Tamandua tetradactyla: one gene and its partner. The protein of the gene in region 1 interacts with the protein of each later gene in a pairwise test. Links are inferred from orthologs where the notes say so. Each region holds a gene or a part of one and is shown in the gene's direction. Other genes may lie near its edges. The genes, in order: AP3D1 and VAMP7.

The links.
Region 2: the proteins of AP3D1 (region 1) and VAMP7 interact in a two-hybrid assay, tested with the Homo sapiens proteins (2 studies listed by BioGRID and IntAct). The link is inferred for Tamandua tetradactyla from reciprocal best matches to the Homo sapiens genes AP3D1 and VAMP7.

Annotation. Positions count from the first base shown.
Region 1 is NC_135337.1:80,793,296-80,810,170, forward strand, and holds the start of AP3D1 (AP-3 complex subunit delta-1), read left to right. Parts: upstream 1-8,512; 5' UTR 8,513-8,585; coding exon 8,586-8,681; intron 8,682-16,875. UniProt on the Homo sapiens protein: Part of the AP-3 complex, an adaptor-related complex which is not clathrin-associated. The complex is associated with the Golgi region as well as more peripheral structures.
Region 2 is NC_135353.1:64,461-81,289, reverse strand, and holds the start of VAMP7 (vesicle-associated membrane protein 7), read left to right. Parts: upstream 1-10,263; 5' UTR 10,264-10,401; intron 10,402-16,829. UniProt on the Homo sapiens protein: Involved in the targeting and/or fusion of transport vesicles to their target membrane during transport of proteins from the early endosome to the lysosome. Required for heterotypic fusion of late endosomes with lysosomes and homotypic lysosomal fusion.

The DNA of each region.
Region 1 (16,875 bases):
TGGCTAGCCCTCCCCCTTAGTTTTCACTCCAACTCCAGATCTCTACATTACTTATTCCCTATCCTCTCAGTAAAGCTATCAATTTTACAACCATTTACTACCTAAATTTACAGAGCTGGAGATGCCAAGAAAAATCTTTCTAAGGAGCTTCATTTCAAGCCACTAAATGTATCCAATACTTAGGTCATCAATTGAGGTCATTATGTACCTCTCTGGTCAATTAACTCAGTTTACAAGAAAACATGCCAACAGAAACAACATGAAGAATAAAAAAAAGTTGACCAATGAACATGTCTATGTGTAATTCCAACATATCAGAGTAGTTATGCAAACCCAAATTAGTAGTATTTTCATTGAACTGATAGGAAAAAGCCATATATTAAAACCATATCACCAGGGTAGGCCACAGTGGCTCAGCAGGCAGAGTTCTTGCCTGCCATGCGGCAGACCTGGGTTCGATTCCTGGTACCTGCCCACGCCAAAAAAAAAAAAAAAAAAAAGTGTATAAAACCATATTACCAGTGTTTACTGAAAGTAGGCGTTTGTTTTACGCAAAATTATCCTAATAACCAAAAAACCCCACTACTTATTGGAGAGTTATATTGTGCTGATAGCCCATAAATGGTATTACAAGAGGATTTCAGTTTTGCGTAGGCTGGGTTCGCAGTGATTATGCTAGTACAGAGATCATATGTTCAATATTACTAAAACAACATCTGTAGTGGAATATATGTATGGCATGTAAAAAACTAGCATTGCAGCTCTTAATGGCAACAATCCAAACTGGCAGCTGCAAGAAAAGGTGCTGCTAGAAATCAAAAAACGTTAAAGAAATTTCGTTTCAGCAATACTAGTTTACAGTGCTTCTATAATGAAATGTATTAATTCACATACACTTTTCTTGCAAGCACTAATGGACCAAAGGAGAATGGACTTTTGCCCCCTTTAACTACTAGCCCAATCCTGAAAATGGAAGCAATCACTTGCAATCTCCCATAGGGTCTTGTTAGGAGAGGACTGAGCAGTTAGCAGGAAGTTCTGGTTGATGTAGTGTTGTTTGTTTCCATCAAACTTCCCAGTTCCACTGGTCACAACGAGAACTGTGGTCTGGGACGACTGGGTAGCTTGCTCATGAACTGGCTGGCAAGCTAACATATTGACCTGGAACTCACTAGAAGGCCACATTTCAAAAAAATTAGCCAGGGCTTCCAGCCCAGTAGCAACATTCCCATTCCATGTTAAAGTGGCCTTGTCGAGATACAGTGTGGTTAGTGCCCATTGCCTTTTGCCCATTGTTTCACGGTAAATATTGACAAATTCCTCAGCAGCTCTACATGCCTGATCCATGTAAGTTCCGGTTCCCACAGGCCGGTTGGCGGTTCTTCATGAGAATAGTTGCTCCTTCCCTGGTGCTTTCCTCTGACTCCCTGACACGAGCCTCTTCTGAATTTCCTCATAGTTGCAAATCTTACTTTTTTTTTTTACATGGGCAGGCACCAGGACTCAACCCGGGTCTCTGGCATGGCAGGAGAGAACTCTACCTGCTGAGCCACCGTGGCCCGCCCCATAGTTGCAATCTTACTCTTTATTTGGCTTGCTTTTTGCTAGCCTAGCTCTGGCTGTGCCTGTCTCACAGCACAACTGGTTCACTCCACTGCTCCCCTTTCACTGCCAAAGCTTATTTATATTTATAGTGTTAATCGGTGGGATACATGGCTCTATACAACCCCTTTCAATCATGTTCACCTTCAGTATGGCAATAGTATTTATAGAGCCACTAATGAACTGCCTCTTCCTGCCCTCTGTCCCCAAGCAATCACTCGTCGCTTCCTGTCTCTGTGGATACTTTGGCATTTTCTAGAGCAAGGTCCCACTGTTACGTCGGCTTTTGGGGTCTGCTACCTTTCCATATAAACTTTACAATCACTTGTTCGAAAACCATAAAATAACTTGCTGGGATTTTGATTGACATTGCTTTGAACCTGTATACCAAGTTGGAAAGAATTGGCATCTTAATAATATTTGGCCTTCCTAGTCATGAACATGGAATATCTCTCCATTTATTTAGACCTTTTTAAAATTTCTTTCGTCAGGGTTTTTTGTTTTCTTCATATAGACCTTGCTTATATTTTGTTAGATATATACCAAACTTGTTTCTTTTTCTTTTTCTTTTGGTGCGAATGTAAACAGTGTTGTGTTTTTTCTTTATTATTATTCAACATAACAACATAGAAACACAAACATTCTTCCCATATGATCATTCCATTCTTGATATATAATCAGTAACTCACAGTATCATCACAGAGTTGTATATTCGTCATCACGATGATTTCTTAGAACATTTGCATCAATTCAGAAAACAGGAAAAAAAAATCATACACACCATACCCCTTACCCCTCCCTTTCATTGATCACTAGCATTTCAATCTACTAAATTTATTTTAAAATTTGTTCCCCCTATTATTTATTTATTTTTAATCCATATGTTTTACTCGTCTGTCTGTACCATAGATAAAAGGAGCATAAGACACAAGGTTTTCACAATCACACATTCACACTGCGAAAGCTATATCATTATACAATTATCTACAAGAAACAAGGCTACTGGAACACAGCTCTACATTTTCAGGCAGTTCCTTCCAGCCTCTCTGTTACACCTCAACTAAAAAGGTGATATCTATATAACGTGTAAGAATTACCTCCAGGATAATCTCTTGACTCTGTTGGGAATCTCTCAGCCACTGACACTTGATTTTGTCTCATTTCTCTATTCCCCCTTTTGGTCAAGAAGGTTTTCTCAGTCCCTTGATGCTGAGTTCCAGCTCATTCTAGGATTTCTGTCCCACGTGGCCAGGAAGTTCCACACCCCTGGGAGTCACGTCCCAGGTAGACAGAGGGAGGGCAGTGAATTTGCTTGCCGTGTTGGCTGAGAGAGAGAGAGGCCACATCTGAGCAACAAAAGAGGTTCTCTGGGGGTGACTCTTAGGCCTAATTTTAAGTAGGGTTAGCCTATCCTTTGTGGGGATAAGCTTCATATGAACAACCCCCCAGATTGAGGGCTCTGCCTATTGCTTTGGTTGTCCCCACTGAGTGTTGTGTTTTTAAGTTCAAATTCTCATTGCTCATTGCCGGTACAGAGGAAGGCAACTGACTTTTATGTATTAATCTGATATCTTGCAAACTTGTTATAATCGATTATTAGAACCAGGTTGTTTTTTTTTTTTTTTTTTTAATTAGTTCTTGCTGGATTTTCTACATGGATAAGGATCTTCAAAACAAAACCAGTTTTATTCTTTCCTTCCTAGCCTGTATAATTTTTATATCCTTTTCCTGTCTTATCGTATTAGCTGTGACTTCCCGCATAATTTTTTTTTCCTTCTCCAGTATGCTTTTGAATAGGAGTGGTGAGGGGAGACATCCTTTTCTCTATTGTTTTCCATTTTATATTTCACTGATTACTCTTCTTAGTGTACTCTCCTTAGTGACTAATTACGTTAAGTCCCTTTTCATGTGCTTATTGGTCATTCATTCTTTGTTGGGTGATTTTATAGTTTCATTATGGTTTGGATTTTTTTTTTTTTTGCCATTCATTTCACTTTGCTAAAGTGTCAGTTCAAATATATTGCCCATTCCTCTTTTCTACTTTGGGTTTAATTTGCTTCTCTTTTTCTAGCTTCTTAAATCGGAAGCTTAAGACTTTTAGACCTTTTTTTTTTCTTTTCATTTTTTACCAGCTTTTTGTTTGGAAACAATTTCAAACTTACAGGAAAATTACAAAAATAATACAAAAACAGTAGAGAACTCCAAAATACCCCCCCATCTAGATACCCAGATTTGCCAACTTTCAATGTTTTGCCACAGTTTTATATCATTCTATCTATCCATAATCTATCTAATCTTTTCTCTAATCTATTTTTTTCTGTGAACATTTGTGTATAAGTCTTTGTTGGGAAATATGTTTTTATTCCCCTTAGGATGAGATTGCTGGGTCCTGTAGTAAATGTATGTTTACCTTTGCTAACAGAACTGCAGAGCTGTTTTCCAAAGTGGTTGTACCTCTCTGCATTTTCCCCAGCTGTTTTCACACTTTCAAATTTTAGCCATTCTATTATTAGGCATGTTGGGATAGCCCCTTGGGGAGCATTTCCTTAGTGACTAATTACGTTAAGTCCCTTTTCATGTGCTTATTGGTCATTCATTCTTTGTTGGGTGATTTTATAGTTTCATTATGGTTTGGATTTTTTTTTTTTTGCCATTCATTTCACTTTGCTAAAGTGTCAGTTCAAATATATTGCCCATTAAAAATTCTGGGTTTATTTTCTGATTATTGAGTTGGAAGGATTTTATTTGTACAGTCTCATTTGAGGCTTTCGTCAGATATGTATTGTAAATATTTTTTTCTCAGACTGTGGCTTGCCATTTTCATTTTTGTAACCTTTATTTTAAGAGCAAATTTACTATTTTGATAAAGTTTATCTTCTCATTTTTAAAAATGCTTTGTCCTTTTTTATGTCCTATCCAAAAAAAAAAATCCTCTAACCTCAAGTATCAAAAGATTTTTCTCTTCCCTTTTCTTTTAGAAGTCTTATAGTTTTAGCTTTTACAATAGGTCTATGATCCATTCTGAGTTAATTTTATATGATGTGCAATAGTGTCAGACCACTTTTTTTTCCATCTGGATTTCCAGTTGTCCTTGCACCGTTTGTTGAAAAGACTTTTCTTTCCCTTTTCAATTATTTGACACTTTTGTGGTAAATTAATTGAGGAAACACAAGTGTGGGTCTATTTCTTGACTCTCTTCTGTTCTAACTACCTTAGCTTGATAGTAAGTCTTGAAATCAGGCAGTTTAAGTCTTCTAACCTTGTTCTTTTTTTTTTCTCCTTTAATTGTTTTGCTTGCATCCTTTCACTTTTAAACTATTTGTGTCTTTATATTTAAAGTGGACAACACTCTGTAGGGAATTATTTTTAACCTATTCTGACAATTGCTGCCCCTTCATTAGAATATTTAGACCATTTATATTCAATGGAACTGTCAGTAGGGTTGGGTTTAAACCCTACATATTTGCTATATGTCCCTTCTGTTCTTTGTACTTTTTTCTTTACTTTCTTTCTTTTAGATTGAGTTTTTCATTATTCAATTTTATATCCATAATCATCCCATTATAGCTATTCCTTTAGTCTTTTTTTAATTTTTAATTTTATTTATTCATTTATTTTTTGCATGGGCAGGCACTGGGAAACGATCTTTTAGTTTATTTTTAAGTGGGTTTTCTAGGAGCACAATATGCGTTTTAAGTTATCACTGTATCCCTCAAATAATATCATACTACTTCACGCATAATGTAAGACCCTTACAAAAGTATACTTTCATTTTCACCTCTCAATCTTCATGGTATTGTTTTACTTCAAACATGTTATAAACTCCACAACTCATTACTGTTGCTTTAAAGAGTCTATTATCATTTAAGGAAATTTAAAAATGATATTTATCACATTTTAAATATTTCTTCTTCCCTTCATTTCTTTGCATAGATCCAGATTTTTGTTTGGTATTACTTTCCTCCTTTTCAAAGAACATCTTTTAACATTTCTTTTAATATTAAGTCTACTGGCATCACATTTTCTCAACTTATATTTGTCTAAAAACACATATTTTCTCCACTTTTAAAGGATATTGTTGCGGGGGGTAAAATTCTATTTTTATTTCATTGTCTACTGGCTTGAATAGTTTCTGATAAAAATCTCAGTCATTCTTATATTTGTTTCTATGTACTTAAGGTATCCTTTTTCTCTTGATTCTTTAATTTTTTTTATTTATCTTTGGTTTCCATCATTTTAATTATGATGTGCCTGGTGGGCTTTTCTTTGTTTTTACTCTTGGTTGGTGGATTTATGATTGTCATGATATTTTGGAAAAAAATTTTTTTTTGCTACTCACTTTATATATTTTTCCTCCTTCCTCTCTTTCTAGAACGCCAATTATATGTATGTTAGATTACCTGATATTGCCCTATAGGACAATAAGGTTCTTTCATTTTGTTCCCTGTGTACTTTGTTTTAGATATTTATTTCCATGCCTTTAAAGTTAAAAGTTGTTTATTTTTATTTTATGTTATTATTTGTATGGCAAGTTTGGAATAGACTTTACTCTAGGACTAGCTTATCTCTAAATAAGTTACCACTTAAGGTGTTCTGAAGTCTTTACCAAATGACCTGTGCTGCTGATACTTCGAACATTCCCAGAGCTGTATTAAATCTGGAAATTGTCCTTTCCCCAGCGGTTGTCTCCTGGAGTTTCACTGTATAAACGTGTGGTTTAACATTCAGCCACAAGCTCAAGGGAAGCCCTGTGAAAACTTAAGAGCTTTTTTTTTTTTTCACACCTCGGTCAAGGGAGTTTTATTGCAAGTATGCAAGGGTGCTTCAACACAAGAAAATCAATTATTGTAATTTTTTTTTCTTAACAAATTGAAAGAGAAAAACCACCTGGTCATCACGATCAGCACAGAAAAGGCAGTTGTAAAATTCAGCATCCTTTCTTTTTTTGTTTTTTTATTTTCATATTTTTATTGACAAAACATAACAACCTACAAACACGAATATTCTTAACGTACTAACACTCCATTCTTGGCATATAATTAATGACTCACAATATCATCCATAGTTGTATAATCATCACCATGATCATTTCTTAGAACATCTGCATCACTCCAAAAAAAGAAATGAAAAGAAAAAAGAAAAAACTCATACATATCGTACCCCTTACCTGTCCTGCTCATTGATTAAGAGCTCTTTCCCTGTGTAATTCCCTTCTCTCCAGTATCTGGAGAGGCCTATCCAGGGCCTCAATTTGGGAGAACACTAGCCTGGAAATTGTCTCCAGGCAGAAAGCTGGGGCTGTGCAGGGCTAACCTTGTTCATTTCCTTTCTCTCAGGAATCCCAGTGCTGCACTGCTTCCTGTGTAATGTGTGAAAACCACTGTCTCACATATTTTGTCACGTTTTCTAGTTAAGGCTGGGAGACCAATTCCCAGAGCAATTACCTAACACATTCCTTCAAAAAGGCAGAAATCCATTGCATGGACATTATCAGATTTTTTATTTAAACACAATTTCAGCTCTCCCAGATATAGTTGTGTGACCTAGGACAAGTTACTTCACTCGGTTACTACAGATTCATTTTGCCTGTTCTTGAACTTCACATGGATAGAATTATATAGGGTGCACTCTTTTGTGTCTGGCTTAATTTGCTCAACTTCATGCCTGTGTAATTCATTCATTTCCTTTATGTATCAGTAATTTGTGTAATATTCCATGATACGACTATATCATACTATTTATCTATTTTAAGTTGATAAACATTTGTCCTGGATTTTTGGCTAACACGAATAAAGCTGCTGTGAACACTCTTGTTCACATCGTTGGATAGACTCACGTGTTCCTGTTGGCAATACACCCAATAGTGAAACTGCTGCATCATAAAGCACATTTATGTCAGCTTTAGTAGAAACTACTTGTTTTCCAAAATAGTTGTGCCATTTTATATGGCATTTTTTCAACACTTGATATTGCGATCTTTCAAATTTTAGTCTTTTTAATTTAGTGAGGATGTAGAGGTGGCTCGTTCTGGGTTTAATTTTTGTTAACTGATGACTAACGATATAGGACACTTTAAAAAATATGCTTATTGGCCATTTGGATGTCTTTTTTCCTGAAGCCATTTTGGACGTTTCTTTCATTAGCTGTGTTTTTAACTGGGTTTTCCTTTCCTTTGGGATTTTTTAGACTTCGTTTTGTCTTGGGTTTTTCGCTTAACCATATTCGGGAAAAGTCCTCTGTTCCGTTTTTTGGAAATCCCTGTGCTGCCCACATCGCAGGACGGTGCCCGGCTGCCTGAGAGAAGAAGCAGGGTTCGACCCCGACGTTGTCGGGTTTGCAAGACCTCGGGCAGCATCAGCTTTCAGATCCAGAAGGAAGGGAGAGGGGCCGCTGGATAGGTCCCCAGGAGCTGGCCTGAAGGCTCCACGTGGGCGCCCCGCCTTCGGACGTCAGTCGTGGAGAGGCGTGGCACAGCCGGGCACCTGGAGGGGGTGTGTCTAGAACCTGGAAGGCGGAAGTAGGCGGAGTCCTGGAGGCCACTGACCAATGAGGGGGAAAAGTCCTGAGACGGCAGGGCGTTCTGAGAGGGCGGTGTCGGCGTTCCTATTGGGCAACCTGGCGTCGTCAGGGAAACGCTGCCCCGGAGGCGGAGGGGTGAAGCCTTCAAGGAGGCGGGGCTTCCGGAGGGCGGGGCGGTGGGGACCCGGGTGCCCGCCGTCAGCTGACCTGCCGCCATCTTGTCCACCATTTGCAATCGGCCCTGACTGGGAGCGCGGCCCCTACGAAGCGGGTCGCCGCCACCGCCGCTTCCTCCTCCTCCTCAAAGGACCCAGCCGCCGACCTGGCCTGGGAGTCAGCCCCGCCGCGGCGGCCGGCAGCTCAGCCCTCCGCGGGCGGCAGGCGCGACCCCCGGGCCCCGGCCCCGCGCCCGTCTCCGGGCCTCCCGGGGCTCGAGGCCGGCGCGTTCCCCGTCGGCTTCCGCGATGGCCCTCAAGATGGTCAAGGGCAGCATCGACCGCATGTTCGACAAGAACTTGCAAGACCTTGTCCGCGGCATCCGCAACCACAAGGAGGACGAGGTGAGCCCGCCGCCCCCCGCTGGCCCCGGCCCTGCCCGACCCCGGGCTTGCACCCCCCGGGGCCTCCCGGAGCCCCTCATGGACCTCCCAAGCCATCTTCAAGGCGCTTCTGCCGCGTGGCCTTCGGCGCTGTGGCCCCCGCCCTCCTCAAGCCTTAGTTTCCCCACCCTGAGACCCGCCCCTCCCCTGGGGAGGCCCAGGGTCGCTAACAAGCGGTTGTCGCTTCCTCGCGTGTGTCGGATCATCTTGAGGGGAGGGGTGGTGTCGCTGTTAAAGGTGCAGCGTCCCGCGCCCCGCGGCTGGGCGGCCTCCCTCCGCTGCCTTAGTTTCCCGCTGGGCGATCCGGGCCCGCGTCCCCCACCCCGGGTGGCCACGACTGCCGCGGGCGTTCCTGGAACACCTCGCAGGTCCTCGCCCACGGTTCTCCGACCCGAGTGCGTTCCCGAATCACCTGTTAAAGTGTTCAGCGTCCGGAGCCACTCCCCAGGTCTCTGGATTCCTCGTTGGGGGAACCCTTGTCGTTGGCAGCGCCCCCGGGGAGATCGAGGCAGGGGGTCTGCGGGCCGGCCCTGGAGAGACCCCTTAGCGGGCAAATGCCGGTGTTCAGCTCACACTTCGTGGGGCATGATCCAGAACCGGGCGGGGTCTCAGGGCCTTGCTCTCTAGGCCTGTGCTTCCAGAGGGATGGGGTTTCTGAGGGGGGGGGGTTGGGGGGCGTGGGGCGGGGGCTGTGTGCGGGCAAGGCAGCAAGCTCCTCATCTCAAGGAGGGAAGCAGGGGCTCCTGGAATAGGGAAGCGGACTTCTGGCAGAAACCGGAGCCCGTGGGAGGAAAGCATTTTCCAGAAGTAAAATTTTAGCTGCGGGCATCGTTTCCTTCCCTCCCTACCCCCAGCCTGTGACCTAGATTAAGGAAGAATTGGGACAGTTAGTGGCCAGGAACCTCCGAGGGCCTCATTGGAGGAAGCCACTTACACAGTGGAAGCCTTAAAAAGGCCACCTCCAGCCCAGAGAGAAACGCGCTATCCACAGGAAAGCAGAAGCCAGATGGTACACTTACCTGCCCTTGACCCCAGTAAAGATTTTTTTGCAGAGAAGTTAAGAAATTTGCTGTGAGACCCCTAGGTGCCCCCAGCTGAGTCCCTGTTCCCTGGGCTCTTGCATTTTGCTACCCTTTTTCAGAATTGGTGTGACCTGAAATGCAGTTGGATTATTTTTGTTTATTTCTCCCTTCTCTTTAGCTCCACTTTGGTTTTGCTTATTAGAAGCTTTCCTTAGCCACTTTTTTTTTTTCCCTACTTAGCAACTTTTATAGCTCACTTGTACAGTCCTTTCAAGTTTCCTATCCAGGTGAAAATAACTGGTCTTTCTGGATTCTATTCACTGGTGGTGGCTAACTAAATTTATGTTGCAGTAGGATCCCCAGATTTTTTTTCCATTTTATATAGTGAATGTTCTGGGATTCTGTAGCTGTGGCCCCTGCACTTGAGACAAGGTGGATGGGTGGCCCAGTGTTTTAGGGAGGTGGACCCAACCTCCCCGGAAAATAGCCCCAGCCTCCGGTTCTTCACTGAGAACTGGTGTGAATAATTGACTACCTTCTCCCAGGCTTGGAGCAGATTAAAATGGGTCTTGATGGTATGGTAGAAGCATTCGTGAAATAGGGCAGGGCCAGACGGACCCTGGCGGTCTTAAGAAGTTACAGGTCTCCCTGTGACCCTGTTCTGGATGGGTGGGCGAGTTCCAACAGGACATTCGGATGCTCTGGTCTCCTCAACAGAAGTGTGAGGGTGGGGGTGCTTTTCAGATGCTCACCTCTGATTCCACATGTTCGTCTGGGGCTGCTTGTGGCCTTTGTGGGTGGTTGGAGACCAGCAAATGACTGTCCACTTACCTTCTCAATTCCCCCACTCTTTGAAAGTAGTTACAACCGCGGCTGGCTCAGGTTCTTCCCTCCCACCCAGCCTGTCCCCTAGCTAATGCTATTAGCATGGTTTTTTTCTGTGGCAGTGTAATTTTTCCCAAATTTGTTTTATAATAGATTTTAGTTTTAAGTTTCTGCCGCATCATAGAAATTAGGGTTAGCAATGACTTCAGAAGCCACTTTGAAAGCCAGTGTATTGGAAAATGAATTATCTGAAGTTTGGGAGATATGAGTTCAAGTCCTCAGGCTTATTCCTTGGCTGACCTTGGATAGCCCCATCCTCTGATCTATTTTATGCTGTTTCCTTATCTGCCAAGCGGGGTTACTGCTGCCTTCCCCTCCTCAAGTTGCGGAGGGGAGAATGAAGGGACACAATGCAAGTTGTTGTAAAAGCTAAAGCACTGTAAGGAATTGTCTAGTTTAAGTTTCAAACCTCAGGCTATGACCCCTTAGTGGGTTGTAAATTTGATTTAATGGATTGTGTTTAAAAAAAAAAAAAGAAAGAAAGAAACTAGAAAATCCCAGATTTAATGTATTTAGAGTAACTGTTTCTTGAAATTTTGTTTTGGGGTATGTATGTGTACTCTCACATATGTATTGAGTGATGATGGAAAATAGATTTCTTGGTGCAAACCAAAAAAGCTTTAAAAAAAATAGTGGCTTACTTGTTATGTTCTTTTGGTGCTCAAATTTGTTTCGTTCCTTATGACAAAGGTTAATGTTGGCAGGACAATGGGAATCCACTTGGAAAATGGCTGGAAAGAAAGCAATGACTTAATGTTTTATTTGCGTGGGCACTTTTCATATTTTGGTGAAAACTTTTCTTAATCTTTATTTTTTTGTTCATTTCCAGATTTTGCCTTATTTTATATTTTTAATTGATATGGCATCAAAATGCAAATAGATTCTATTCTGTCTCTTATTTACTTCTTTTTTTTACTTATGGGTGCATGGTCCTGGAATCAAACCTGGCTCTCCCACATGGAAGGCAAGCATTCTACCACTGAACCACTATCCTGTCTTTTAAAACTTTATTTTTAGTTGTAAAATATACAAAACATAGAAAGCATTTTAACCACTTCTAATTTTTTTTAATTATAAAATGCACTCATAACTGTCTTAAGTTTGTTGCTATTTAGTAAAAGCTAAAAATGTCTTCCCTCCTAAATGCCTCCCCATGCTATATTCCTCCTGAGTAAGCTATTTCTAATGGTGTGTATGTACTTTGAGATTCTTTTCCACGCGTAGCGGTTGCAGTTGACTCTGCGTGTTAAGGTTACGTGTGTGCCTTGCCCTTCCAGGGCCATCGTTGTTACAGGCAGCTTTCAGTGCCAGCACGTGACGCTCTCCCTTTTTTCCTTCCAAAGCTCCCTGGCATGGACACACCAGAGTTTGTCGCGCCTTTCCGCTTTGGTGGGCATTAGAGTCAATTCCATGTTTTTGCTGTGAAAAGCAGTGCTTCCATAACGTCCTTGGCTGTGTGTCTTTGCTCGTTCCTGTTGGTGTTTGGATTGACTTGGCTCTTAGAAGTAGAATCGCTAGGCTGGAGAAAATGCGCGTTCTGAATTTGGGCCTCTTGCTCGGGTCAGGTGCTCTTTGCTCTTTGGGTTGGCCCTCCTCCCTCTTGCCTTTGCTTTTTCCTGACAAGTCTTTGTCTCCTGGAAGCTATTTCCTACCTCCCTAGGCCTGGTGAGGCTGCCCTTTGAGTGTCTCTTGGTACCTCTCTGTGGGGGCATCTTCTAGATCCCCAACTCTGGAAGCCACTGGGCTCTAGAACCCATCTCCCTGTTGCCAGCCAGTCACTGAGTGCATGGAGATACTGAGGCAGGCTGTTCCTTGGAGGTGGGGGCAACTCATAGGATGCTTCCATCACTCTCACTTCCCCCTCCACTCACCTCCAAGTTCCCCCCTACTGCTGTGCCTCTGTGCCACCCTCCACCCGGTTTCCTCTTACCAGGGTTGTTCCCGACAAAATCCTGCACATCTAAACCCCACCTGGGGGTTGGTGGCTTAACTGGGAGGCCCTGGACTGAACTTGGACTTACTTTTTTTCGCTGGCCCTGGTCCCCGATAGACTGGGGGTATCCTTATAATGACAGAACCTTGTGTTAACCTCGACTTTCTGACCCAGGTGTGATCCCTATTCTGCATTTGTGGATTGTGTGGCTGTCAGGTGGATGTGGGCCTTGCTCTTCCCTCACAACTCCTGCCTCCTCTGTTGGATCCTGCTCACCCTCCTCACCTGTTCCCCCCAGCCTCTGGGACCCTTGCTCTGCCCCTACTGACTCCCTTGTCCTCCTGCTCAATTTATTTGCCCAGGCCAGCACGCGAGCCTCCCCTTGGCTGTGGCCTCCCACTTGGCCCTTGGTGGGGTGCTGCCCTTCTTAAGGGCCAGGCAAAAAGTGCTTCCTCCCTTCTGGTACCTGGGCTCCTCCTCTGTCTCCTGTCTGGATGTCCATGCCATCTCCTGGTCATTCTGCCGTAGCCAGGGAGGCCATAGCTGTCTCACGCTAGCTCTTGTTCACTTCATGTGTGACTTGAGTGACCCTGAGAGTGATTGACAGGTCACTGGATCATGACCCCAAGACACCCCATCCCCAGAGTCCGTGGATGTACCCCCCACCCCCACCCTCTGTGGTGAAAGGCTTTTGCAGGAGGAGTGAAGCAAGTGAGAGGGGAGATGAACCTGGACTACACACGTGGACCCACTGTCATCACAGGGTCCTTAAAGGCAGGGGGCCGGTGGGGGTCAGAGTAGCTGTGACAATAGAGGTAGAGGTCAGAGTGATACAGCCATGCACCAAGGAAGACAAGTGCTTCTAGGAGCTGAAACAGCCCGGAAACGGTATGCCCTGGAGCTTTCAGAAGGAACCTGCCCTACGGCACCTCAGTTTTACCAGCAGTGGTGACCTTGCACGTAGGGTATCCAGGATCATGCAAGAATAGATCTGGGTGGACTACAGCCACCCAGCTGATAGTGAATTATTGCAGCAGCCACGGGAAATGCTGCCCAGGAAGGCCTTTGTTGTCTCTCCCGCCCCCCATCTGTCTGCCCGCCCACCCACCTTCCTGCCCCCACATGCATACCCTCCCAGCATTGTTGCTGCTTCTTCCCATACTGCCAGCATCCTTGCTCTGCCTCTGACTCCTGGCCTGCTGCTGGTCCCCTTGCAGCACACCAGCCCTCAGTTGGGGCCCCTGTGTGTCTTTTTGCTGCTTGGGATGCTACACCTGCAGGGCACATCCATCGCCTCAGCGGTCCCACCTGCCAGGCATCTCCAAGTCTCTCTAGTGGCCTCCCCTGTAATGCCCTCTGCTGCTGCTCACAAGCCCTCCCGTGCTTACGCTTATCATGGGAGCTTTTCTCCTGTGCTGTTCCAGATACCTTGTTTGGGCTGCCCCTCCCCTCAGATGAGCCTTAGAAACCCTCTACCCCTGCCTGGTGAGGCAGCCTTCACCATGAGTCCCGGCTTAGGAACAGCATGGGGGGCAGTTTTGCCTCCCTCCTTCCCCCCCAGGAATACTCTGTCCACCCCCAGTGTCTGGGGACATTTTGTTTGTCACAGTTTGGAATGGGGTGCTGCTGGCATTGAGTGGGGTGGGGACAGGGATGCTGCTTAATACCCTCCAATGCCCAGGAATCCTCCATTGCCCATCCCCCCACCGCAAAAAAACTCCTTTACTTTGCTGGCTTCTGGACTTGTGCTTTGGGAAATTAATCTCATTGCAGTTCCATTTCCTTCTCCGGAAGAGGGTATTTTGGGTGTTGGAAAAGACTATATTTGTGGTGACCAGGCTGCACCTCGAGCCTCTGGTCGGTACAGTGTGGGTGCAGGCACTGCACAAATAAATGCCTGCTCTGGGCAGCAGAGTTCTCCTGAATGCAAGCAGTCCTCCAGCTGTTCTGTGGCCAGGTGTTAAAAAGTTTTTGAGCATAGTGTGGTCAAGTCTGAAGTTTTTTTCAACCGCTAAGCTTTGCTTAGAGTAACTAGCAGCCGCGTGTTTTTTGTGAAGCCAGAGGAACTGGTTTGGTACCCCTGGGAGAGAAGTGGAGTGAGCCTTAGCACTCCGAAAGAAAGCAGGGGCTTGTTGCCTTGGTCTCATTCTGTGAGACCACTCTGCCCCCACGGGAGATTTCAGAACAAAGTCGAGAGGTTATTCTGGATTATTCTCATGCGTTATATGGATATCCCTTTTGAGGTTTTAGTGTATTAGAATAGCTAGAAGGAAACACCTGAAACTGTTGAACTGTACTCCAGTAGCCTTTTTTTTTTAAACATTTTATTGTAAAATATAACATATATACAAAATAAAGAAAAAAAAGCAATAATTTTAAAGTACCCTTCAACAAGTAGTTACAGAACAGATTCCATAGTTTGTCATGGGCTACCATTCCATCATCTCAGGTTTTTCCTTCTAGCTGCTCTAAAATACTAGAGGCTAGAAGAAATACTAATACAGTGATTCAGCAGCCATACTTGTTTGTTAAATCCCATTTTCCCTGTATACTTCTTCCTCCTCCTTTAATTCCCCCAATGTATAGGGATCTCTGTGCAATGCCTCTTCTGACTTTTTCATATCTAAAGGATAGAGGGATATTATTAATTGATAAACCAGGAAAGACTGGTCCCTCTGAGTTGCAGGATTTATATAACCTGGAAATCCTCTGAAAATTATATATTCCAGGAAGGCAAATCTTTATAGAGGCTCAGTTCGAGCCCCAGGTGTTGTTAAGAGTCAACAGGAGTTACGTGGGACATAATTCCCAGGGGTCAGATCTCTCTGGTAACATAGGGCAGAACTCCCGGTATGAGCCAAGCCCTGGCATCATGAGATTGAGAAAACCCTCTTGACCAGAAGGGGGAGGAGAGAAATGAGACAAAATAAAGTTTTAGTGGCTGAGAGATTTCAGAGACAGGAGGATATTCTTATGCGTTATACAGATATTCCTTCTTAGTTTAGGGTGTATTGGAGTGGCTGGAAGGAAGTACCTGAAACTTGAGCTGCGGTCCAGTAGTTTTGATTCTTGAAAATGATTGTGTAAAGACAAAACTTCTACAGTGTGATTGTGAAAACCTTGTGATGCTTCTTTTTTAAAAAAATTTATTTATTAATTAAAAAAAACTTAACAACATACGAAGTAAAACATTAACATGTGATCATTCCGTTCTAAATGCTCAGTCAGTATGTGATGCTTCTTTTATCCAAGGTATGGACAGATGAGTAAAAAAAAAAAAATGTGGATAAAAATAAATAAATGTTAGGGAGAAGAAGGGGTAAAATAAATTGGATAGTGGGAGGGTGGGCCACGGTGGCTCAGCAGGCAGGAATGCTTGCCTGTGAAGCCAGAGGACCCGGGTTCGATTCCGGTGCCTGCCCATGAAAAAAAAAAAAGAAGGATGTTGATTGGCATTTAGCAGACCATGGCAATTAGCACTATGTAACTGAAGCTTGCATGAGAGCAGGGATAGAGTTACAGGGATATGATTTATACTTCAATTTGAACCTGTCACTGCTGCTGACTTATTCTCAGCAATGTCTGGCATTGGATTCTTCTCTTTCTTTCTAACTTTTAGTTCTTTTCAAAAAGAAATTATAAGAACAGATTTGATGTTTTTCTGAGCTGAGAGATTTAGATGAGTTAGAATCACTGATTTAGACTTTTCATTAAGATGCTATGTGGACGCTGGGCTTTTGTGATCTCAGGCCTTTGGCTGGGGTGTAGACTTCTGGTTCCTTAGCCGGGAGGCTCATGGCTTGGATGCTTTCCGTTCATCCATGTGTGCAGGTTTCAGGGGCATCTTTGGGTCACGACAGGACAGGCACATCTGGGGTGAAAGTACCTCTGTCTAGAGTGAAAGTACTCATGACAGGACAAGCGTATCTGGGGTTGAGTTCAGCAGCTTTAGAAGTTGACAGCTCTTCAGAGTAAACTGCAGAGCTTTGTGAAAAGGCAGTTGCCTGGGCATCAACACCCCTGCAGACTAACTTGATTTCTGGGGGAGGAGCCTGGGAATCTGAATTTTTTTTTAATGCTCTACAAAATTCCAATGAGCAGCCAGGATTGAGATGGCCTATTTTATTATAATCCTAAGGAGTTAATATATATAAGGATGTGTGTACCGTTTGTTCTAAATTAAATTCCCTAGCAATTAAATGGATGTTTAAACCCACATTAGTATTATTTTAGTACCACATTTGCTATGTGGTGAAGTGTGAATTTTGTATGGGACTGGCTGAGGTATTTGAGAAATGTAATCATGCTTGCACTT
Region 2 (16,829 bases), on another chromosome or scaffold:
CTATAGACTTGCTTTAATTCAGACATTTTCTTGGCATTAGAACTGTAAACCAGCAACTTATTAAATTCCCCTTTTAAAAAGCCATTCCATTTCTGGTATATTGCATTCTGGCAGCTATCAAACTAGAACTCCACCTAATTTAAAGGTCCCATACACAATTGGGTGGGTCACATCTCCATGGAAACAACTTAATCAAAAATCTCCCACCCAGCAATATTGAATGAGAATTAAAGAACATGGCTTTTCTGGGGTACACATTAGTTTCAAACCAGTATGCTCACTGATATGAAATGATTAGAATAAGCAAATTCATACAGTCAGCATCTAGAATATATGCTACCAAAGGCTGGGTTGGGGGTAGGGAATGTGGAGTTAATGCTTAAATTGTACAGCACTTCTATTTGGGTTGATTGCAAAGTTTCGGTAATAGATGATGCAGATGGTAGCACAAATTTGTGAAAATAATTAACAGCACTGAATTATATGTGTGAATGTGGTTTCAAGGGGAAATTTTAGGTCATATTTATGTTATTAGAATAAAAATTTTAAAAAAGCACTGTACAACACAGTGAACCCTATTGCAACTATAGTTAATAGTATAATTATAAAAATCTTCTTTCATGAATTGTAAATAATGTACCCCACCAATGCAAGGTGTTAAGAATAGGGTGTATATCTGAACCCTGTATTTTATGCATGATTTTTCTGTAAACCTAACTTCTCTAACAAAAAAAAAAAATTTAAGTCACACATAGAAAGTTCTCATTATGAAAGGACAAATGGCACTAAAAATGCCACTTGAAAAACCTGACTCCAGTTTACTATTAAATCTGAGACTATTTTAAGATCGTGGGATAAAATAAATAGATTCTGATAGTTTCTACTTTTCCAGTTTTCTTCCCAAGCCTGAATGCTTATCAGAATCACCTGGCTCCCTAGCTATAAGTACAGATCCCTATGTCCCACCCTCGGAAGTCTGACTTGGTAGGCAAGAACTACCAAGGTGATTCTAACGTAGTCCATCCATATATTGGAATTTAGAAACCAATGTTTATTCCAGTGGTTCTAGGAATAAACCACTAACCCTTTGGTGCATCAGCATATATACTTAACTTCTTCATGATCATATAATAAAGAGAGTTTTCTAAGGTATGGTTCTTTTGGTGCAACAAAAATGTGATGCAATTTCTATCTGTTTCAAATGCTTGCACCTGTCAACCAAGAGAAAGTGAAAGAACCAGTGTTACTCCTCAGTATCAAGTACCACAGAATAGAATGCATCCTACCACTGAACTACCCATGCACCCTACAATAGAGTCATTTTAGACACATGGATTCAAATAGATTGAAAGTGAAAAGATGGAAAAAGATTTTTCCTGCAAGTTGTAATCAAAAGAAAGCAGGAGTAACTATACTAATATCAGACAAAATAGACTTTAAATGTAAAGACATCATAAGAGACAAACAAGGACACTATACATTAATTAAAGGGTCAATTCACCAAGAAGATATAACAATCATAGATGTTTATGCTCCCAATCAAGGAGCTCTAAAGTACATGAAACAGACATTGGCAAAACTGAAGGGAGTAATAGATGATTCAATAATAATAGTAGGAGATTTCAATACACCACTTTTCTCTTTATATAGAGCAATCAGACAGAAGATCAATCAGAAAATAGAGAAGCTAAATAACTTGATAAATGAATTAGACCTAACAGACATATATAGGTCATTGCACCCCAACACACAAGCATATACATTCTTCTCTAGTGCTCATGGAACAATCTCCAGGATAGAACATATGCTGGGGCACAAATCATGTCTTTATACATTTAAAAACATTGAAACTATTCAAAGCACTTTCTCTGATAACAGTGTGATGAAGCTGGATCTCAATAACCACCAAAGAACGAGAACATTCACAAACATATGGAGATTAAATAACACACTCTTAAACAACCAGTGGGTCAAAGAAGAAATAGCTAGAGAAATCAGTAGCTATCTGGATATGAATGAAAATGAGAATACAACTTATCAGAACTTATGGGATGTGGCAAAGGCTGTGCTGAGAGGGAAATTTATTGCCCTAAATGCATATATTAAAAAACAAGAAAGAGCACAAAATGAGGACTTATCAGCACACTTGGAGGAACTTGAGAAAGAACCACAAACTAACCCTAAAGTGACTAAAAGAAGATAAATAACAAAGATTAAAGCAGAGATAAATGAATGGGAGAACAAAAGAACAATAGAGACAATCAATAAAATCAAAAGTTGGTTCTTTGAGAAAATCAATAAAATTGATGGGCCACTAGCAAGACTGACAAAGAAAAAAAGAGGATGCAAATAAAAAAGATCAGAAATGAGAAGGGGTGTGTTACCACAGACCCTGAAGATATAAAAGAAATCATAAGAGGATACTAGGAACAACTATATGCCAACAAACTAGACAACTTAGATGAAATGGACGTATTCCTGGAAACACACAAACAAGCTACACTGACTCAGGAAGAAATAGATATCAACAAACCAATCACAAGTAAAGAGATTCAATCAGTCATCAAAAATCTGCCTACAAAGAAAAGCCCAGGGCCGGATGGTTTCACAGGAGAACTTTTCAAACATTCCAGAAAGAACTAACACCAATTCTGCTCAAACCTTGCCAGAAAATTGTAGAAAAAGGAACCTACCTAACTCATTTTATATAGCTAATATCATCAAAACCAGGTAAAGATGCTATAAGAAAGGAAAACTACAGGTCAATCTCCCTAATGAACATAGATGCAAAAATTCTCAACAAAATACTAGCAAATCGAATCCAACAACACATTAAAAAAATTATACACTACAAACCAAGTGGGGTTTATACCAGGAATGCAAGGATGGTTCAACACACAAAAAAATCAATTAATGTAATAAAGCACATTAAAAAATCAAAAGGGAAAGATCACATGATCATCTGAATTGATGCTGAAAAAGCACTCGACAAAATTCAACATCCTTTTCTGATAAAAACACTCCAAAAGATAGGAATCAAAGGTAACTACCTCAATATGATAAAGGGAATATATGTAAAAACCAATAGCAAGCATCATACTCAATGGAGATAGACTGAAAGATTTCCCCTAAGATCAGGAACAAGATAAGGATGCCCACTGTCACCACTATTATTCAACATTGTGCTAGAAGTTCTAGCTAGAGCAATCAGGCAGGACAAAGAAATAAAAGGCATCCAAATTGGAAAGGAAGAAGTAAAACTCTCATTATTTGCAGATGATATGATACTATACTTGGAAGATCCTGAGAAATCAACAGCAAAGTTATTTGAGCTAATAAACAAATTCAGCAAAGTGGTGGGATATAAAATTAACGTGCAAAACTCATAACGTTTCTATACAGAAGCAGTGACCTAGCTGAGGCGTCAGTTAAGGAAAAAATTCCATTCAAAATAGCAACTAAAAGAATCAAGTAGTTAGGAATGAACTTAAACTAGGGATGTACAGGACTTGTACACAGAAAACTACATAACATTGCTAAAAGAAACTTAAAAAAATTGTTGAACTTAACTGCTTTGTTTAATTGCAGATAGTCAAAATTTAAGTTGTAGTGATAGCTTCTAAAAAAGTTATTTCTAGAATGTTAGCCTTTCTAATTGTGTAGGCTGAAATAGTGAATAATTGAGTGAATAAAAATTGAATGAATAATTTCTTGATAAACCTGGACAACTGAATCATGTTACCTTAATAGCTGAAAAAAGGAAGTACTTTCTGTGGGATTTATAATATAAGCAATAACCTTTTCTCCCATTACATCTCTGTCCCAGTCATCCTTTAAGATAGTTTGATTGTGAAGTCAGCTTGGGTTTGACCCCAGAAAAAGCTGCAGTGTATAGAAGGCATTTTGGAACCAAGATCATGCTTGAGTTTGAATTTCTGCTTTGCTTTAATATTCAACAAGGCAGTTAGTCTCTTTGAATCTAAATCCCATCTGCTGCCCCTACCATGTTCACTGTGCCCTTTTTTATATATCTTCATTATGGAGCTGTCTATGAATTGTTTAAAAATATATATTTGTGGCTGAAATTTCAAGAAATGGACTTCAAGATGATACTTTTTATCTCCCAGGGTTGATGGACTATTAACTGAGACCATGTATATTAAGCAACAAAACAGAATGTAAGAAAGCATGCCTGACACATAGTGAAAACTCAAGAACTGCAATCTCTACAAGGGCAGGAACTTTGTTCTGTGTACTGTTGTATTGGTACCTTGGACATAGAAGAAACTCAGTAAATAAATGTTGACTATATAAAACGTTAATGTTGTTCCTTTCCTTCCTCTGCCTATTTTATTCATAAAGTAGCTCTTACATAAATTATCACCGTGCCTTACATATTTGTCTACTTCACACACACACACACACGCGCACACACACACGCAGTGTGAACACATGGCTGTACTCTTCTTAGTCTCCCAGTTCCTGGCCTTCAGCAACCTCCATAGATGCTTGCTAAAGGAAAGCCATTAAACCATATGCTACTTCAGTCCCCTTAAAATTGTAAATGACTTTCCTTTACACTTAGAAATCTGTGTTCTTACAAAAGTGTTTAATCTCTCAGCAAAGTTAATGATATACACAGCTGTGTTAAGCTATAGTAAAGTGTTAGCTGTCAATAATACAACTGTAGAGTTGAGCAAGAGGATATATTTCAGTGATTCTGTGAACCACAGTATGTGTGTGACTGAAATCTCACGACTTGTTTATATAGTTCCCAAAATACTCTCACTATTTTCCAGAATGGATTGGGATAAACAAACTAAAGTAAATACATTCCTCGATTTCATTTGTATTAAACACATAGTCACAGCTTCCAATACTTCAAAATATAGCATCAGAACTGTTACCTTTTCATGTGAGCTACTTCAAGCTTTTTTCTTTGCCTTATAGGGAATCGTGGTCACAGACTTGAAATTGAGGGATATAATGGAAGTAAGCCCTTGTGTTAGGGAGAGCAATGGTCCGAGAGGCAGCTGCGAGGATTTTAGTCCTAGTTCCTCTCCCTCTAACACCAGTGTGATTCAGAGCAAGCCCCTTGGGCCTGGATATATTCGATTATGGGGACGGACTCCATCAGCGGTCCAGTTTTCATGTTATTTTAGCTGCAGTCCCGTGTGAATCCTGAGCAGGGCGAGGAAGGAGTGGATGAAACTCCATTCACTCTCTTCTTGGGGAGCAATGAAAACCAAACAAAAGATGGCCTAGATAGTTGTTAAATCCCTTTGTCGCTGGAAGAAGGTTGCAGAATTGGTCCTGCTTTCTGCCGCTTTCCCCAACTAAGGCCACATTAAAGCGCCGCATTCAATATAGAAAAGAGCGCCCACTTTCGGCTGGGAGAAAGAAAACTAGAAGGTAGGTGCTGTGCCTAATCTTTCCAGCGCACCCCTCCTGGGTGGCTTCCACTTGAGACGCCTTCAGCTTCAGCCGCACAGATGAGTGACGCGAGACTGGACCTTCCCCTTTGTGGCTGTCTCCTGTTCTCTGTTCCCCGCTGGCTGCAAGCTCTGCAGCCCCCCTGGGGTATTTCTACCGAGGTACCTGGACTGTGTACTCCTAAATATTACGCCCCTCACTAGCGTTTGTTCATTGTCTTCAAACCATTTTGCTAAGAAATATGCGCTTCTGCCCCCACTCCCTTCCCCAGCCTGGCATCTTCTTCATCAAAGTCCCGTTCCAAGTGGACACAGCCGAGAATGCAGGAATGGAAACAGAGGAGGCGTGCAGAAGCAAACATGTACTTATGTATCCATCTGGGGCAGTTTCATTTAGTCAACCACTAATGATTATCCACTCCTCCATGAATTTCCTCTAAGGAGCTTCCGAACAGTGATGCAAGAGGAGCTAGGGCTAAGAAGCCAAAACCAGGGGATGCAAATCCCGTGCTACAATAGCCTTGCGACTTAACACTTTGGCTTCCGTATCTGAAAAACAGGTATGATAATAATAATTACTTCATACCGTTATTGCGATGACTAAATAACTGTATGTGTAAGATATATATATATATATATATATATATATATATATACATATACACATATGTATATGCATATATATAATCTTAAAATATATAATAGAATGTTGTTTGGTATCAAGTTTTGTGTTAGCTGTTATTAGTTAGCATTATTTCAATGAACTCTTCTTGAGCATTCACTCTCTGCTAGGTTGAGGATGTATAGAAGTATGCATCCAGAAGCACTTTTCTTGGAAAATATTCACTTTTGCTAACTGTACATATTAATTTATTAGCAGGATAGATGGTGTATTACCATACTAAATAAAGCCAGATAATTTTTTTAAAACATACATCAGATCATATCACTTCCCTACTCGAACCTAATAATTTCCCATTACACTTAGAACAAAATCCAAACTCCTCCTGTTTCACAAATCCCTGCAAGACTCCCTAACTATCCCTCTGCCCCTATCTCCTCACTTCCACTCTTCTCCAGTGACACTGATCTTCTTTCTGTTCCTCAAATATATCAAGCTTCTTTCCACTTTACAATCTTTGTCCCAGCTCTCTCTGCTTGGGATTCTATTCCCTCTTGGCTTCTTGTAATTGAGAATTCAGTTTTAACGTCACCTGCTCAGAGAGGCCTTCTGTGGTTTTCCAACATAAAGGCTTGTACTAGAACCATAAATTTTGTAGCATGGATGAGATCATTTTAAGAAAAAGTATGGAGTAAGAAGAGGGCATTTGATAGAGCCTTGAAAGCTCTTAATGGAGTCATCATTTACCATCCACACAGCTAGTAACTCAGGTCTGTCTACTTTCAAAAGTTATTCTCTTTCAAAAATATTCTGTTGCTTCTCAAAGAAATGGTATCAAATAAAATTGAATTAATGTTAATATAAAGGTAAACCTTTGCAAAGGATGAATGGAGATGAAAAAGAAGCATAAGCTGTTCTGGAAAATGAAGAAGCAATATTTGGAATAGATTGGGAAGAATAATATTTTGACAGGGTAGGTAGCATGTTCAAAGGCAGTGAGGCATAAAAGTATGTGAAATTATTTAGTGCATTTCCAGTTGTACACAGGACAGTTGAGTATTGTTGTGTCTATTGTTTTTTATTTAGAGATAAGTGTGGTTTAATATGATGGGTATAGCTGCCAAGTTGACATGGGGTGGACTGTGATGGTCAGTGCATTTGTCAACTTGGCCAGGTAATGGCTCTCAGTAGTCTGGTCAAGCAAGCACTGACCTGTTACTGCAAGTATATTTTATGAACTTAAATCAGTAAGTTGATGGCATTTATGGCTGAATACACGTACAATCAACTAAAGGCAGTGTCTTCAGCAATGACAGACATTTAATCCAAACATTTGAAGGCTTTTAAAAGGAGAAGTGATGACTTCAGCAGTCAGAAGGGAGAATTTTTATCTCTACTTCAGTCAACCAGCCTCTACTGGGGAATTCAACAAAAACATTCATTAGAATTGCCAGCTTGCAGCCTGCCCTGCAGAATTTGGACTCATGCATCCTCACAATTGAGTGAGACACTTTTATAAAATTTTATAATGTTAACAGATATCTCCTGTTGGTTGTTTCCCTAGAGAACCCTGACTGATGCACTATCTTTGCAATTTTTCTGTAAATCTGAAATTATTCTAAAATAAAATGTATTTTAAAAAGTATGTAGTATTGAGTGTTAACTCCATGAAGGCAGGGGCATTTTCGTATTGTTCACTGTCATACCTCCAGCATCGAGAACAGGACCTTGCTCATAGTAGGCACTTAGCACATATTTGCTGAAGGAATGGATGAATGAATAAATGAATGCATGACACTATACAGGAAGAGGCTTGAATACAGGGTGTGTTGAAGAGAAAAGCAGAACATGAAGTCATACTCAATACAAAATTGAAGTGTATATGTAGATTCTTTGATCCTGAGACATATGTGTATAAATTGGTATTTTCCTGGAACTTTGAGTACTTCTGTGACACTTAAGATTCAGAGCTGTAGTTCTGCAGCTCTGAAATTCAGCATGGCTACATACAACTGTTTAACAACAGTTAAAGAAACCAAAAAAGAGATCAGGCATCCATTAAAGATGAGAATGAAGCTGATCTTGTTGGGACTAAGGTAAATCAGAATGCAGGGTAAACGATGATAGTGTTTGTACTCTAGAGCTTCACCTATTGTGTGAGACCAAAGGCAGAAATGTTTATTGGGTCTAGCACTTAAATTTTCTGTTACACACAATCTAATCAACCTGTCTGGATGGTTCATTTAGACAATCCAAACACATGGAGCCCAGAATGGGAACAAGGCCTTGTAATTCTGTATAGCTTAATGTAACACCTGGAGACATCCCAGAGAATGGTAGGTTGATAATTGAAAAGTATTGGTCGAGTCCCTTGAGAGACTGGACAAAAAAATATGGAAATATTAAATTTTCCCACCTGGGAACCCCCTGCTACTCTCTAGAACATTAGGCAGTCCCCCCCCCAGTATAGGCCAAGCCCTTGATTTTGAGACTTGTCTTTATAAAACTTATTTCTATAGTGAAGAAGCTAAGCCTACCCATAATTATGCCTAATAGTTACTTCCAGGAAATCTCTTTGGTTGCTCAAATGTGGCACCTCTCTCTCTCTCTCTCTCTCTCTCTCTCTCTGCCCAACTCTTCAAGGAAAATTATTACCTTCACCCCATAGGAGACATGACATTCAGGGGTGAAAGTCTCCCTGAAAACATGTGGCATGACTTCCAGGGTTGAGCCTGGCCCTGGTATGGAGGGATCGACAATGCCTTCTGGTCTAAAAGTGGGAAAAGAAATGTAGCAAAATAAGGTATCAGTGCCTAAAAGAGTTCAAATGGAGTTGAGAGGTATTCTGGAGACTACTCTTATGCAAGTTTCAGTTAGATATTGCTAATTACCAGGATTTGCAAAATTCCGACTAACATGATTCCTGCCAAACTTAAAGAACATCTAGGGCTCTATCTGAGATTCTACAAATGATCCATGCACTGGGTTTACTTTCCAGAAACTTACAACCTCCAGATGAGTTCCTAGGCCAGTTAAGTCTCGAGATGCAGAGGGGTCAGCTTTTACATCACATAATTCCATTTCCCTATCCCATATTGTCAAGACAGCCTTTCAACCTGAAAAAGTTAGAATGGGCAAAGCCCTAATATCCCTAAAGATTGTGAGAACAATCAAAGGAGAAGGAGTTATAGCAGAGAAGATAGAATTTAACAAACGAATATGACTGCTGAATCACTATAATGATATTTCTTTTAGCTTCCAGTGTTTTGGAGCTGCTAGAAGGAAAAAGCTGAAAATGTGGAACGGTAACCATACCAAATTCTGAAATCTGTTCTACAACTAATTGTTGTGGTGTTCTCTGAAATTTATTCCTTTTTAAATGTATATATGTTATATTTCACACTAAAAACCGTTTTTTTTAAAGCAAAAGCAAAACCAAAAACATTTTCTTTTTAAAGGGAGGCAATAATCCACAGTGTAAAAATCCTGCAGAGATGATGTAACATAATGGCTGAAAATGCCTATTGGTTTTAGCAACACTATTGAGAATTTTGGCTGGGAAGGAGAGGTGGGAGAAAGACCACTAGCTTAAGTCTGTGTGGTGAGGGCATTAGGGGAAGTTGGTTTGAGAAAGGTGACTGGAATTTTTTTAGATAAGAGAAATGCTGGCAATCTTTAAATGCTGATCATAAAGAGCGTGTAAGCAGGCAGCCGTTTAAGAGTCGGGAGACAGGGATTAAATGAGTTGGAAGGAGGAAATACGGATGTAAGGGGCGGTGTGTTTAAATCAAGAGTAGATTATTGTTGTTGCAAAAGAATGGGAGAAAGGAGAGGTGAAGGATACAAGGAGGTTGGGAAACAGTGGCGAAAGTAGAGGGAGTTCTTGTTAGATAAATGCTCTTCTGTCTGTGAAGTAGGCGACATTCTCCGCTGAAAGTAAACGAGGCTCCGGCGGGGCGAGCCAGCCTCTCATTTATCGCGCCAACGCCATTTGATAGACTCCTTCTGTCCTCCTGCAGCCGCTCATTTTCCCCTCTTGGCTCGGCGCTTGGTAAGCAGTTACGACAGAACTGTTGACCGAACGCCTGACAGACTCAGAGAGACGGAAGACGGAACTAACACTCCCAGAATGCAGTCCGGTTCTTGGGAAATGCAGGGGCAGGGAAAGCAGCAGGCCCTGCCCCGCTGACGACTCCCATTGGAAGAGAGCTCACATTCCCAGGAGGCTGCGCGCGGGCGGGGCGCTTCACACGGAAGTCGGCGGCATTGGGGTCTAGCCTCCCTCGGGAGCTCAAAGTTGGCTACCCCACGTCCAGAACCCGCGCTCTTGCAGAGGGCGCTGGACAGGTACGTAAAGGGTGCGCTCAGTAACAAAGTGGGGGACTAGACAGCAGAGGGGAAGGCGGGGGTGGCCAGGAAGGTACCGAAGTAGAGTGAGGAGGCAATGGGAGGGTGACTCGGAATTCTCTGAGGTCCACATTTCGAATTGTCGGGCAGATCCAGTTTGGATGAAGTGCGTTTTATGCCTGTGATAAATCCTCAGGTTAAAGAAAGCCATAATGTGTCACTTCATTTGTTGTTAACAGGAAGGAAAATGTTGACTTTGTCAGTTAGCATTCCCAGGACATCACCTTAGCATTTGAATCTCTTAATCACCTGAGTCTTTTAAAATCGCCTCTATGCCCTTGCTTCGGTGACGTCACTCTTCTGCTTCACCTTCTACTTCGGAAGTCTACTGCTCAGTAGTGGGTTCTAACCCTCTTCACGCCCCTCCTCCACCACCAAATGTTGACATTCATCTTCCTCTTCAGTTCAAATACGAACTCTGTATCTCTTGCCCAAATCGGCTTCCTGAGCGTCAGATGTGTTTGTTATTATTACTATTATTATTTTTAATGGTCAATATTTATCAAATTCTATATTCTAGACTCCTTGGTAAGTGGTTTACATATCCCTCTCTCAGAACCCCTATAAACAATTATCAAGACCTTTTCTTTCCGTCTTATTAATTGCTCTGAACTACCTGTACTTCCATTTTCCCACCCTTAATCCCAGAAGATGCTGTCATGTTTGGGGCATTCTTTCTCATTTGAATACATTTGGCTTGGAGCAGATTCATTCATTCGTTTAATAAATGTTTATTGAACAGCGCATATACACCACAGAGTTTTCTAAGTGCTAGGGATATATTTGTAAATAAGACAAAAGAGGTCAGTGCTCTCCAGAGCTTCCGTATTTTGGGGACAGGGGCGTGGGGGGGGTACAAAAAGGAATAAACAAGATGATATGGTGGTTAATGCAAAATAAAACAGACGGTTTATTTTACAGAGTGGGATCCTGTCCTAACAGAGGGATTAGCTTGAGTCTTAGAGCATCACCCTAGAAGAATATTTGTGATACACACAGTACCTGATCTGTGATCAGGCTTCAGACTTTTCATAAATGTCCTTTCTTTTCTTTTGTCTATCATATTATAGCAATATTTGTTTTTCATTCTTCTGTCTCCTCCAAGGTTGTTATTTCAGAATTGGTGGTTTATTTCTCATTGGTTTATTTCCTCCTAAGACCCAGAAAGAAGAGTTAGGGTTTGATTACTATCAGCTCAACTTCTTTATTTTAGAGAGATAGTTTGGTAATCAAAATATTCTTCTTTCCAGGGCCTAGTGACTATAAATCTATCATTTACAAGTATATTTAACCACAGGCTCAGTATTCACTCATTTATTCAATATATATTTGAGAGAATATTTATACTGTGCACTGTACTGAGCACTGAGAACATTGTGAGGGTAAAGTAGACATTTTAACCTCTCTTCCAAGGAAAAGTAATCATAATAATATACTGAGGGAATGCCTAATGAATAGGCTGATATCTGCATTCCTTTTTCTTCATCCAAGGTGAGATAATCACAAAACTTTCATTGTGTACATTCTTAGATTATTCACTTATTTCAATTTATTGCATTTATTTATATCTGTCTTCCCCATCCCATTGTACTGTGGAACTTGTGAGTATAGGGGTCTTTTCTTACTTATCTGTATATCTCCAGTGTCTTCTACATTGGCTGCCATAGAGTAAAATCTTCAGTACGTATGTGTTGAACTGAAATAGACTCCATTTGATTAAATCCAAATTACTTAATTTATACAAAGCCTCTGTCAGCCTTATCCACTAACCTTCACATTCACTGAATGTGGACCATTCTATCTCATCAAGCAGTTTCTTCACCTTTTCTAGCTTGTTCTCACCTCGGTGCTTTCTCTTGTTCCATAGCTTCCTCCTAAAATTAGTTCCTTCTCTTTCCTGGGTACCCTTTCTCAACTCCACCCCCCACCCCCCGTTACGTTGATGGGCCAATTAATATAATTATATACCCCATAATATAAGAATGAAAAAAAACTTCCCATTGTGTATTTCCTATGAAACATTCTGCTAATGAATTGTTGCAAGAATTCACATAATAAATCCGTTTGCAATAATATAAATGATGATGCAGAATACTTTCTTTTGATTTTTGTGTTGAATGTATTACCATGTATTATAAATTAATTATTCCACTTCATTTCTGTATTTGAACTGTTGCACAACCTTTGTTCGTGAAGCACATTATGGCATCATTTGATTTCCACTTGGTATAAGCATTTCTTTGAGTATTATTTTCTCCTTAGCCTAAGATAATTTATATATTAATGTGATTATACCACACTGTCATTTTCAGAGTATCAGGTAAAAGTCTCAATTCTTAAAATAATCTTATTCCACGCAGCTATTTTTCAATTGTCAATCAGTACTGCAAAAAATAAATTTTGTCTGTAACTGATTTTGAAAAACATAGTAGGAATGCATGAGTGCTTGAATTGTAATTGTTATTATGGTTTTAGGATGCCAACCTAAGAGCAGCTAGACTTGCTTCCAAGACATTAAAAATTAAGCACCATCACTTTAAAGGGTTTCTTGGCACCTATACCTTCACAGACATGAATGCATAGGCGGCACTGACTTGTGTGCCATTACTCATTTATGAGATATGTATATAGATGGTCCAGAATATACTTATACATCTTTAATACTAACAAAATAACAATACATAATTGAAAAATTCCTCAGAACACATGGACTCCAGTGTGAAAAATGTTGGCTTGGTCTTTTCCCTTACTCTGTTCTCTGATGCTGTCTTCAACTTTTGCTTGAATGCCTCCACTGAGGAGAAGTGTGCATCACTACTGTGCTTTTTTGTTACTGTCTCTTAAATACAGGAAACTCCTTACTTATAAATGAATATATTCCAGAAGTTCCTTCATAAGATTATTGTTTGAAACTCTGGATGCATTTTTCTCTATAAATAATGCTCTTCATGACAGATTTGTATGTCAGTAGCATCTTGCTTAATCTTAATTTTGTGAATTTAAGACTGTCACCACAATTATAAGAAAAAAATTGCATCCAGAATTCTAACTTGGATTTCCCCATAACATATCTTCTTTTGAATCTCAGCAACTGGAACAAAAATATCCTTTCCTTGGAACTTATTAGACTTCTCAAACACCAAGTTGTGGTGGTTGCTCTTCAGGCCCAGAGCCCTAAGGACAAGCCCCCAAGATATGAGGAAAGGAAAGAGAAGTTTTGGAGATGTAAATATATGGAGAGGTAAGATTAGGATTGATTAAGGAGGAACAGTAAGTTTCTAAAATAGGGGTTCTTAGCAGAAATGAAGTAGAATTAGAATGATGACTGTGGAAAGAAAAGAAGAGAATAAAAGAAGAGAGGAGGAACCATATTGAGACAGGCCTTTCCTTTATATTCTGTTGTCTTTATTTTCCTTTTTCTCTCTCTCTGGTTTGTCTCTTCACTCTTCCTGAGTATTACTTTACATTTATATAATACTTTATGGTTAGTTAGGTATTCATATACTTCTAGTAATTATTAGAGCCAAGTTTTCTAGTTTTTCATTTCTCTGTCTAGGGGACCATATGATTTCTTATCTGTTTCTCTTTGTGTTTTTATTCTACTTACTCTCCTCTACTTTTTGTCTTACTGATCCTAACGAATGGCCTCCTTCCTAATTATAAAGTTTCAGTGACTGTTTCACAGCCTTTGCCTTCATATTCCGTGTCAGTGAGCACAACTAGAAGCTGACACTCAGTCCTTCCTGAAACTTACTTTCTCTTTGGCTTCCATGACACCACATACTTTTGGGTTTTCCTCTGACTTTTCCAGTTGCTTCTCCTCATCTTCTTTGTGGGCCCCTATTTGTCTACCTTCCCCTAAACTGTTGTTGTGTCTTTGGTTTTTTCTTTGGCACTACTCTTTTTATTCTGTGTGTACTCTCTTCAGCAAATAAATTGTGTTTAAAATATCAAGTCTAGATGGGCTCATCAAGAGATAAGAGGGTTCAGAATCAATACCTAAGGAAATTCAACATTTAGAGGTAAGGTGAAAGAAGAGGAGTCATCAGGAAGACAGAAGGAGCAGCCAGAGATGTAGGAAGAGGGTGTTTCAAGAAGGAGGGTTAATCAGCAATGTTTATTATTCTTAGAGGTCAAGTAAGTTGAGAATAAGAGAAGTGACCACTGTGTTTTGCAACAGATTTTCTTGGTGCTCTTAGCAAGCATGGTTTTGTGGAGTGTTAAGGACAAACATCAGAATGTATTAAAGTTGAAGAGCTAAAAGAAGGTGGAGAAGCAGAGATAATGTGTGCACACAAAGACTTTAAGAAATAGAATGTACCTGGAGTATTATAAGGTCAAGGGAGGATTTTAGGATCAAGGAAGATAATGTATGAGGAAGTGATTTGAAATCTATAAATTGTCATGTATGTATGAGGAGAAATGGGAATATGGAAGGAAACTCAAGGGAACAGTCTCAATTAGATAATATAATGAAGAAGCAATTCCAAGAGGAGTTCAGCTCTAGAAACAGAAGTGCCCCTTCTGTTCTGTGTGCTGTGCTTTGGTGCTGGCATTCCAAGAAGGAATCAACAGGTTCCTTGACCTCAAACACGTCCTAATCTTCTTCAGTGTTCACAAAGTATGGTTGTGTGCATTGCCTGAATCCAGACAAGCTTTTTAAAATGCAGATTCCAGGGCCCCACCTCAGGCCTGCTGAGTCAGAATTTCATGGTATAATGCTGAGAATTTGGATTTTTAACATGTGGCTCTCACTGTGCCATCCCAGATGACTCATAATCACACTAAAGTTGGATATAATCCCTGATCTGTTGGGTGAAACTGAGCATGTTAACAAATAACATTAAATTGATGAGTTAGTTGAATAGTAGTATGGTATTTGTTCATCTCTTTTTACAAGTTTATGTCATTAGATAAATAGAAACTGGGCTTTTTTTGTAGGAAAAAAGACAGTACTACTCATATCTAAACATGAGAAAAATAATCTTAAACTCATGCTGTATTGTTTTAGTAAGGTTGTGTTTATGAAAGATCTTACCATAATTTATAAAACTGTTCCTCTTGTTGAATATTTGGGTTGTTTCCACTTTGTTTCTGTTATGGATAATGCCTTTATGCTAGAGATAGCATACAGTATAGGTGAAGAACGTGGATTCCAAAACCTATACTGTTGGAGTTTAAATCCCAGCTCTCTCTCTTCCTAGCTCTATAATTTTTGGCAAATTATTAAAATCGTCTGAGCTTCAGTGTTCTCATCTGTAATATGAGCATCCTGATAGTATATAATTTCATTGACTTGTGTAAGGATTAAATGAGTTAATAATTATAAAGTGCTTAAAATAGTGCCTATACATAGTTAAGCACTTAATAAAAATGGGCTGTTATTATTGTTAATTGGTATATTTGTGAATCTAAAGTCTAACTTCTATTGAACTGATTCCTTAGGATAGATTTTCAGGATGGAATCACTGAATTAAAGGGTAAAGATATGTTTATGTCTCTTTGCTATATATGGTCATTGCTTTTCAAAAGGCAAAAAAACGAATATTAGTTTGTGGTGTATAATTTGTAAATGCAGTCTATCTTTCAGTCTAATGTTTATGTAGCTGATTCTTAACATTCATTGTAGTATGTTTTATAAAGTCGCTATAAATACTGAATTAGTAAATACTGAATTAGCAAATACTGAACCATTGCTCCTAGGGGAAATATGGGATTAGGTTCCTATAATCCTCTGGTCACATTTTTATCAATAGATCAATACTTAACCTTGTTTTATGTGTGTTTTTGTTTAAAGACATTTTATTTAATATGTATATTGTTGACTTATTAATATTGAGCTCACAGCCAGTAGCACTATAACTAACTCATGCCTGAAGGAAGCTTATCTAACACATGTATTTTCTCAGTAAGGCACCTCACAGCCTTCTTGTGCTTGGGACAGTACTTCAGCAGTATGCTTAGGCATTTTAAGTAGTGAAATCATCAACAAAAAGCACAAAAATATGAAAAAGATATGGTACTAAATATACCAGAAAAAGGATTTTTTATACTATGAGAGCTAAAACAAGAAGGCAGAGTGTCACTTTGAGCTCAACTGAGAAAGCGCATGTCTGGCAACTCAGATTTTTCACAGCTCTGTACATGTCGACAAATGACCACGGAAGTGCTGCAAATATTGATTTTGGGGTTACAAATAAATGTTAGCTAGTAGGCAGATTCGCAGATTATGGAATAATGAGGTTCAACTGTATGCATGTATGTATGTGTATGTATTTTGTTTGTCTATAAGTAATATGTGTATCAGTGTGGTTTAGGTTACAAGCTTGTAGCCCTTTTTGCTAAACCTGATTTTAAGCCTGTTGTTA